2 linked regions of the Caenorhabditis elegans genome follow. The protein of the gene in region 1 interacts with the protein of each later gene in a pairwise test. Each region holds a gene or a part of one and is shown in the gene's direction. Other genes may lie near its edges. The genes, in order: ima-3 and cebp-1.

The links.
Region 2: the proteins of ima-3 (region 1) and cebp-1 interact in a two-hybrid assay, tested with the Caenorhabditis elegans proteins (one study listed by BioGRID).

The regions. Positions count from the first base shown.
Region 1 is NC_003282.8:7,558,019-7,563,330, reverse strand, and holds ima-3 (Importin subunit alpha-3), read left to right. Parts: upstream 1-1,666; 5' UTR 1,667-1,670; coding exon 1,671-1,745; intron 1,746-1,790; coding exon 1,791-1,861; intron 1,862-1,974; coding exon 1,975-2,190; intron 2,191-2,235; coding exon 2,236-2,830; intron 2,831-2,873; coding exon 2,874-3,352; intron 3,353-3,431; coding exon 3,432-3,540; 3' UTR 3,541-4,590; downstream 4,591-5,312. Other genes in the region: F32E10.9 (TPR_REGION domain-containing protein), read left to right, coding at 194-318, 368-533, 621-818; nprl-2 (Nitrogen permease regulator 2), read right to left, coding at 4,635-4,758, 4,803-5,312. UniProt on the Caenorhabditis elegans protein: Binds specifically and directly to substrates containing either a simple or bipartite NLS motif. Promotes docking of import substrates to the nuclear envelope. Seems to act as a cytosolic receptor for both simple and bipartite NLS motifs.
Region 2 is NC_003284.9:1,451,952-1,455,875, reverse strand, and holds cebp-1 (CCAAT/enhancer-binding protein homolog 1), read left to right. Parts: upstream 1-2,007; 5' UTR 2,008-2,017; coding exon 2,018-2,170; intron 2,171-2,219; coding exon 2,220-2,965; intron 2,966-3,014; coding exon 3,015-3,075; 3' UTR 3,076-3,181; downstream 3,182-3,924. Other genes in the region: W05H7.1 (uncharacterized protein), read right to left, coding at 3,837-3,894. UniProt on the Caenorhabditis elegans protein: Transcription factor. Binds to promoter regions of target genes, perhaps at the motif 5'-[AGCT]TT[AGT][TC]GAAA[ACT]-3'.

The DNA.
Region 1 (5,312 bases):
CCGCGAAAACACCCAAAAAACGGGACAACGGGACATCCCGTTCCCGTGAAAATGACAAAAACGGGACAGCGGGAATTCCCGTTCCCGTGAAAATTTTAAAAACGGGACAACGGGAATTCCCGTTCCCGTGAAAACACCCCAAAAACGGGACAACGGGACAAACGGAACACGGGAATTGACATCCTTGCTTGTGATGGGATTGGAATCGGACAAAATCAAATGCAAGGTCGCAATCATGGCTGAAATTAAGAGTAGAGGGAATCTGAAAAGCTCCCGAAAAATTTTTGAATCAGCTGCAGCAAAATTTCCGAACTGCCAGTAAGACAACATTTTTTAATCAATTTTTTTGAAACTGACTTACTTTCAGAGCTATAATAACCGGACGAGTCATTGTAGAAGAGAACGCAAATCGCGGTGCTGAGGCTGAAAAGCTTACCCGTGATTTTATCACCAAAAATACTGACGTCAGCGGAGATGAGTTGATAAAATTTATCAACTACATGGAGACCTACGATTCCAAGTTTGGTTTAAAGGTAAGCCTGTAAAACACTGAAAAATGTTAAACGAATTATATTATAACTATATTCTTCGCAATAGTGATTCAAATTGAACCATTTCAGGCTGCAATTCAAGTTGCAAAGGACAATCTTCCATGGGCCGGCGAAGAGAACATAGACCAATGGGTCAACTGGGTCAACCTACTGATTAGTCTGAAAAGTTTCAAAAGTTCCAAACTTTTCTGTGAACACGGCATGCCAGCAGCGTTGGGGAGTGTATCTTTTCTTAAGTTTTTCAATAGATCTTTGCGAAAACTGTAACAGGATCGACACTGACCGAAGCAGATCAGGTGTTCTCCTGGATCCAGGAACACAACAAGAAATTGCGGGAAAAGACGGCTAATGTAAGTTTTTCGGACTAGAAAATACTCCTGGTTTTTTGTTCAAAAGTATTATATCAAATGCATTTGATGCAAATGCAAATGCAAATGTAACCATAAATATCATTATTTTTCAGGTGGTGCAGGATGAGAGCGGCGACGAGTAGGATGCAATCACAAAATTTATTGCTTTATAATTTTTATAAAATCCGCTGTTATTAATATTGTAAAGAATGTTGAGTAAATAAATTTATTATTTAAAATTTTTTGTTAAAAGAGCTTGGTACCCAAATGTATTTAAAATTGCCATATTTTGAAACCATTTGAAGCGAAGTTTGACATTTTAATCAGACATTGTTTTTTGTTCTTAATATCTTTAACATTTACACGTTTTCCTTTTTTTAAAGAAGATCCATCCAAAAACTCCGGAGCTTCTTTTCCCTAGTTTTAAAATCTACGAGTGAGACCTCTTATCTGCCAATACGCTCTATTGTGTGCGTTGCGTGTCAACCGCGACGCTTCTGCGACATATTTTGTCTCGTTATCGACTATAATTTTTCCCCAATCCTACTGAAATCTTTCCATCTTACATGTAATTCATTGGATTTTATTTAAAAATTTCTGTTAAAGTTTCTCAATATCGCTCTTTTCTTATTTTAAATAATTAAGCTGTAATCTTAGATACTTTTTGTGTTGCGAAATCTCTGATAGAAAGTTCCGCAGTTTTTAAACGTTTTTTGTTGCTTTTTACTTGCGCTACTATTCATTTATCAAGTTTTTTTCTTTCAGCAGAATGAGTTCAAACAGACAGGCTTATTATAAGAACAATGCCAAAGAGCAAATTGGCAAGGAAAAAAGGAACGAAGAAGTAAGTTCGATAAACTTGTTAACGCATACATTATTCAATTTTAAGGTGGTTTCGATCAGAAAGGATAAACGAGAGGAGGCAATTTCCAAACGGCGTAATATCAATACCCAAATTGAGTGAGTTTTTCATCTGATTTTATATGCTTCAGCTATGAGAGCTAACAAAAGTGTTTCATACGCTTATCACAGTAAATTATCTGTTCCAGTTTTTGAATTGTTTTAATTTTCAGAGATGATTCTGAGACTTCAACAACCCCACCAGGTCCATTTGATGCCAACCTCCTCCGGTTGACAGTCGCTGCTGCCCAATCGAGCGATCCCGCTGAGCAGCTGACTGCTGTTCAACAAGCCCGTAAAATGCTATCAACTGATAGAAATCCACCAATTGATGACTTGATTGGCAGTGGGATTTTGCCTGTCCTCGTTCAATGCTTGTCCAGCACGGAGTAAGAATTTTCATAAGGTCGCATCAAATTACTGTAAATTTTCAGTCCAAACTTGCAATTTGAAGCTGCATGGGCCCTTACCAACATAGCATCTGGTACATCAGAGCAAACACAAGCCGTCGTGAATGCCGGAGCCGTTCCTCTCTTCCTGCAACTCCTGTCATGTGGAAATCTGAACGTTTGCGAGCAATCTGTCTGGGCTCTTGGTAACATCATTGGAGATGGACCACATTTCCGTGATTATTGTCTCGAACTCGGAATTCTCCAGCCACTATTGCAGTTCATTAACCCGGAGATACCTATTGGCTTCTTGAGAAATGTCACATGGGTTATTGTCAATCTCTGCAGGTGCAAAGATCCGGCACCAAGCCCAGCTGTGGTTCGTACGATTCTTCCCGCCCTCTCACTTTTGATCCATCACCAAGACACCAACATCCTCATAGACACCGTTTGGGCCCTTTCTTACCTCACCGACGGTGGAAATGAACACATTCAAATGGTTATCGAAGCTCAAGTTGTTACCCATCTCGTTCCACTCCTTGGACACGTTGATGTTAAAGTTCAAACAGCAGCACTTCGAGCTGTAGGAAATATTGTGACTGGAACCGACGAACAAACACAACTTGTGTTGGATAGCGGAGTAAAAATTTTCATTTATGACTTTTCCAAATCTTAAATTTCAGGTTCTTCGGTTTATGCCAGGACTTCTCGCCCACTACAAAGAGAAAATAAACAAAGAGGCTGTTTGGTTTGTCTCCAACATAACTGCTGGAAACCAACAACAAGTTCAAGACGTATTCGACGCCGGAATCATGCCAATGATTATTCATCTTCTTGATCGAGGAGATTTCCCAACTCAAAAAGAGGCAGCGTGGGCTATTTCCAACGTTACAATCTCTGGCCGTCCAAATCAAGTTGAGCAAATGGTAAAGCTTGGTGTCCTTCGTCCTTTCTGTGCGATGCTCAGTTGCACTGATTCGCAGATTATCCAAGTAGTGCTTGATGGAATTAACAACATTCTGAAAATGGCTGGAGAAGCTGCCGAACAGGTGACATCAGAGATTGAAGAGTGCGGAGGTCTTGACAAGATAGAAAATCTTCAAAATCATGAAAACGAGGACATTTACAAACTGGCTTTCGAAATTATCGATAACTTCTTCAGGTAGGAGTCCAATTATATTTGATAAAAATCTTCAGAGTCCGTGTGCGAATGTTTGGTGTATACGTTTTTATATTTTCAGTTCCGATGATGAGACTGGCAACGTGGAAGGAGCTCAAAGTTCTGCTTTTGGAGGCGACGTTCCACCAGTTCCTGATGCTCCAAACGGAGGATGGAACTTTGGAAAGTAGATCTCCATGATTCCTTTAATCACAAAATACGTTTTGTCTTATTTCTCGTAAACAATTTCGCATGCCGTTCCCATACAAATGTTCATGTAGTTTTCGTCTTACTATTTTTCACACCTCACTTTTTGTTAGGTTCTCGTGTATTTTCATCTGACACGCGAGTTCCTAAGCCAGCTTCTCGGAAATGCAAGCTCTCTTTCATGTGAGATTTTGCACTTTTTGACCAATTGAGTTTGCACGTTCTTCTACAATCGATTGTCAATTATCTCATCCTTTCTTTATCTCTTCGTTGTTTCTGTACCATCAGTGATTTGATTAACATTTCACTTTTTCATCCACCATCTTTTTTCCATTGTGATTAATTAGTTACAATGTCCCCGCCCTCTTCTTCGTGTGTGCGAGAGTGACTGTTTTATGATAATATATTTCGATTTCTTTTTAAAGTGAGTGTGTGAGTTGTGCATTTTTGTTGAGTTTTGTTTTCATTTTTGTTTCCCATTCGCGCCCGTTCATTGCCCGCGTCCCCCACCCTCATCCTTTTATCATTGTTACCGCGTCGTTTTCAAATCTCTCATCATTTTTCCCAGTCCCTCCAATCCCCACGGTCCCCAGATTTTCTCTCTAAAAGCGAGTATTTTCATTTTCTTCACATGTTACTTTTATTAATTCTTTATCATATACATAATTTCAATTTCTTAGAACTTCTGATCCCCCTAGTTTGCTCATTTCCTAGTCATCCATCATCATTCTCGATTTCATTAGTTCTCGGAGAATCTCGTTGATAGGCCAAAAATTCCAATCACCCTGCTCCTCTTAGTTCTCGTGGACTCCAGTATTCTTTTTCTTGAAACCCCACCCATCCCGTAAGGCCTTTTTAAAGGTATATCGAGCCGTCCCTCTTCTCATCATCCATCTTCTTTTCTCATTTTCCCTCTCATCTTCCTCATCCCATTTTCCTTTCTCCCGTTTTGCTATTCTCGATTGTCTCGACTGACTGGCCAATATTCCCTTTACCTGGTGTGTGCTCTCATAATAAATAAATCAAATTTATTTGTTAAAAGTTGTTGTAAAACGAAACAATAATACACGATTTTCATTTATTTCATGACAAACTCAAATTTTCCGGTTTCTTCCAACAGTGAGCAAAGTTGTTCGGGGTCCACATTATGTTGAAGAGAAAGTTCGTCAATTGAAGTTTTTCCATTACACCGTTTCAGGAGACTTAAAATTGTATATTATTAGATAGTATTAATTGATTAACTTACGTGTTGTTGCCTGGGTTTGCAACACAAATAGGATATTTAGAAAGTTTACGAAGAAACTGATGATGCATTCCAAATTGTACAAGTCGCTGTTCATCAATACCCATCGATCTTGGTTTCTCCAGATCGGCCCATTCTGCTAGATTGTTGCCGCACTGAAAACGTAGTCGATTGCTATCAGATTCGTCGATCGGAAGTTTAGGTCCCACCACTTTCATGCTCAAATAAAGTCGGAACACATCCGAAAATTCTGGAGTTCGCGTTGGAATTTCTGAGCCGTCTGCACCGATTTCCGTTTGAATTTTCACAAACTCAAGGCAGTCATTGATTTCCGTTTGATTTTTGTAAAAGTCGTGAACTCTTTCAGTTGCCACATATGTATTATAGTAGAGAAACATTGGAACAAGACTGACACATTCGTAGAAGTGTAAATTACGAACACATCTGGCGACGAGGGATGGATCAAGTTCGAGAATAATAGCAATCTCTCGAACTGTATTGATTCCATCAATT
Region 2 (3,924 bases), on another chromosome or scaffold:
TTTTTGGAATTTCAATTTCAAATGGCAAAATTAAACGCATCATATGAATTTTCCTATATCTATTTTGAGAAGTACGCATATTCTATAAAAAATATGTAGAAAAAACGAGAAAAATTCGAAAATAGACAGTGTTAAGTGCTTCCGTCTTATAAAAAACCCCTTTAAACATTTCAGGCAAATCTGGTATCCGGCAAATCGGCAAGTCGGCAACTTGCCGTAAATTAAAATTTCCGGCAAATCGGCAAACCGGCATATCGCCGGAATTGGAAATTTCCGGCAAATCGGCTAATAGCCGGTTTGCCGATTTGCCGATTTGCCGAATTTGTCGACAAATCAATTTACCGAACGGCAATTGCCGCCCAGCCCTGATATAGACTATCAAAGTCATATGATTTTTATCGATGCACCATGTTTAGTTATTACTCTTTCAGTATAGCTCTCTAACTTGAGAAACTTGTATTTGTTTTTGTCACATTTTCTATAATTTTGTAGTAAAGAATAAATTTATACCTTGAAAACAATATTTTGGTTGTTTTTGATTTCGGTAATAAATTGTCAACAATTGACAAAATACTTTTTTATCACATTTTTCGAATTTTGTAGTCAAAAATAAGTTTAGAACTAAAATCGTGCCAACACATGGACTGTCAAGTTCATATGATTCTTGTCGATGCACCATGTATTAAAATCACTTTAGTATTGCACTCTAACTTGAACAGCTTATAACTTGGTTGTTTTTGAGATTTTCAGAAAATTTTCAATTGAAAAAATTCTTATTATTACGTTTTCTAGCGGTTTGAAGTTGAAAATTTATAGTTTTTCAAAAAAATAGGAATATTTACCAGCAAGGATCTAGAATGGGAACTGTGATCCCAATCGATGCACGATGAGCAATAGTTTTTGTTGAGCCGTTACCTTCTAACTGAACAGATGTTGAATGAATTTATAACAATTTGCCAACTAACATAGTATTTGTTTTATAGTTTTTTAACTAAAAATGATTATTTTATGGCTACCAGTCGAAGTGTGTAGCCGATGCACCATGTTCAAATTTGGAACAATTCTATTTAGTTTGTTCTTTTTTCTCTCTCTCTCCTACAATCTCCATTTTCCCCCACGACAGTTTTTCATGACTTTGCAGTATGCATGACATGTATGACTCACAGTCCAGTTCCCTCGGTTTCTCTGCGTCTTTCCCAGCAAACAACAAAACCACTCGCGCTTCTCCCATTCCTCTCGCCCCGCATAGTGTGCAGCGGGAAGAGACGCAGAGGCGGCGTTGTGACTCATCGCAAGCTCTGCGTCTCCTGTCCCCTCCTCTCTTCTCACAACACAACATTGCCGCCGATTTCGCAATACTTTGCGCCCTGCCTCCTAGCGTCGGTATTCATCCATCTCCTTGGAGTCTAATTGTACACAACTCGCCCCGCCCATGGCTATAAGTCGACGTGGAAAAAAGTGTCGGGGTTTGTCATTTCGCAATCCGGAGACGGTTGGGTCTGGTGGAGGGCTCCTCGAGCTGGTTTGAGTATTTTGTAGTGTTAGAAGCCGATTTCTATGTTGATAATCCTTCTTCTTAAATTAGCAGTTACATAGTCATTTGTGATGTCGATTTCCTTTCTGACAATTTTTCAACTTTATAGACAATTTAAATATCTATTTTTTATCCATTTTCTAGTGTTGGAGCAAGTCTAAAAGTTTGAGTTATCGTTTCTAAAATCTGTAAGAAATGTAACCTTTTTAGTTTATTTTATTCACACTCCCATTTGATAACTACTGATAACCTTCTGGGTGTGTCCCATAGCGCTTGCTCACCCTTATGCAGCTGGTTGCTAAATTCGGCGGCAATGACGTCATCATTTCACTTTTCTCATTTTTCCTCCTTGCTTTCTCTGTTTCTCTTTTTATTTCTCATCGCCTCTCACCGAGAACATTCGAAACCTTTTCGCAAACTGTTTGCTCTTATTTCTCTTTAACTTCTCTTTAAGTTTAGTGTATTTTTTTCAGAATAAAGAAAATGTATAGCAAGCTGAACTACAGCCACCAAAAGGGCGACCAGGCCCTCAAGCATCCACACCTGGTAAGACTCCAGCAATCCGAGGTACGTGGGTTCACTGACATGCCGAACAACGGAGCTTCCACCTCCTCCGCCGGATCCTTCGCAAGACAAGTAAGTGGATAAAGTGCTCTTGCTCACTCTTAGTCATCGATATTTTCAGGACTCTCTTACCATTGCCGCATCCCTCCAGCAACGTGACCGCGAACGCCATCCAGTGGACTTTATGGAAACTGAGCTGGACCTTGGCGACTACCTGCAAGTGCTCCACGATCTTGACGTTCCTACCGACAATGTGGATTTTGATGATGCCGAGCTCCAAAAGTGCAACATCCTTTACGACGGAGAGCATCCTTACGAACAACCGGAGCTGAACGGATATGAGCGCCACGTGGCGTACGGCACTGGCTATCGAGTGCCTGGGGATTATGATCAGGATGGGTACAAGATGAATTGTGAAGTGAAAGCTGAGACACCGGATTTCGGAGCTACCAAGACCCGCCGAGCTGTCAAACGCCCAGTTCCTTATGACGATTACCAGAAGGAATACTCGGAGGAGTCCAGCGATATGACGGATAACGACGGAAGCGTTGACGACTCCTACTTTGAGCCAAAGAGCAAGAAAACTAAATCCGCCGGACTGGAAAACTTCAAGCCACAGACCAGAGCAAGAAAGTACAAACTCAAGGCAGACGAGGAGAAGGCTGAGCCGACCTACAAATTGAAAAGAGCCCGGAACAATGATGCCGTCAGAAAATCGCGTAAAAAGGCAAAGGAGCTCCAGGACAAGAAGGAAGCCGAGCACGACAAGATGAAGAGGCGCATCGCCGAGCTTGAAGGGCTCCTCCAGTCCGAGCGTGACGCCAGACGTCGGGACCAGGACACCTTGGAGCAGCTTCTCAGGAATAAGTGAGTCAGAATAAAACCCTTAGTGTTTCTCAACGATTTGTAATTTCAGAGGCCCGATGAAAGAGCAACGCATGCCCCAACGCCACATCCTCGAGAACTTCAACAAGTAACCTGCAGCTTCATCAATTAACCAATCAATAATTTAGACACCTAGGATCCTCATATTTATTCCACGGCATTCTCCCCCCATCATTCCAGTGACCCCCCCCCCCCCCCCCCCTTCATTGATCCCAATCTAGTCTCCCAGTGTAAAACAAGCATCAAACCGTACATAATTCTATTCCATCTCTCTCCCTTCCCCCCAAAGCTGAGCTTTCATCTGTTCCCCCCGTTTACTTGCTGGCAAGTTATTTTGTTACTTAGTTGTGAAACTTGAAATTTCCTATATTTTGAGAGTTGCTCGCAGAGCCTCTTGCGCTTCAAAGTCCAATAACTCGAAATTGGCTGGAAAATTTTCCTTAACTTCCTTTCAACACCACGTAGCAAAAAACCAGATCCTCTTCCAATCCCTACACCACTGGTAATGTTTCCCCTTCCAGTCAACTAGTGCATTTTTTGTCTGAAAACCTATCCCCCCTGAACATGTGTTAACTAATTTTGCCTTGATAATTTCAAATTCGCTTTATTATTTTTGCCTTTTTTCTATTGTTTTTTTCTTTTTGATCGCTGATTTTATCTAAATAGAAATAAATTCATCAGTGCTCAAAAAATTTACATTTAGGATTCCAAATTCTATAGTCAAAAATTTCAAAAATTTCAAAAATATATAAATATATTGCGGTGGGGGGCTTGACTAGCCAGGGGTTGTGCTACATATAATAATACAATTTTACAGAGATTTGAGATAATAATTATGATAATGCCAGATGGCTCAGCTGATGCTCTGGAGATACTGCTTAGCCAGGTCTGGGAAGGCTTGGCGGCGTTCTCTGAAAATGTTGTAGTTTGTACTTCGTACT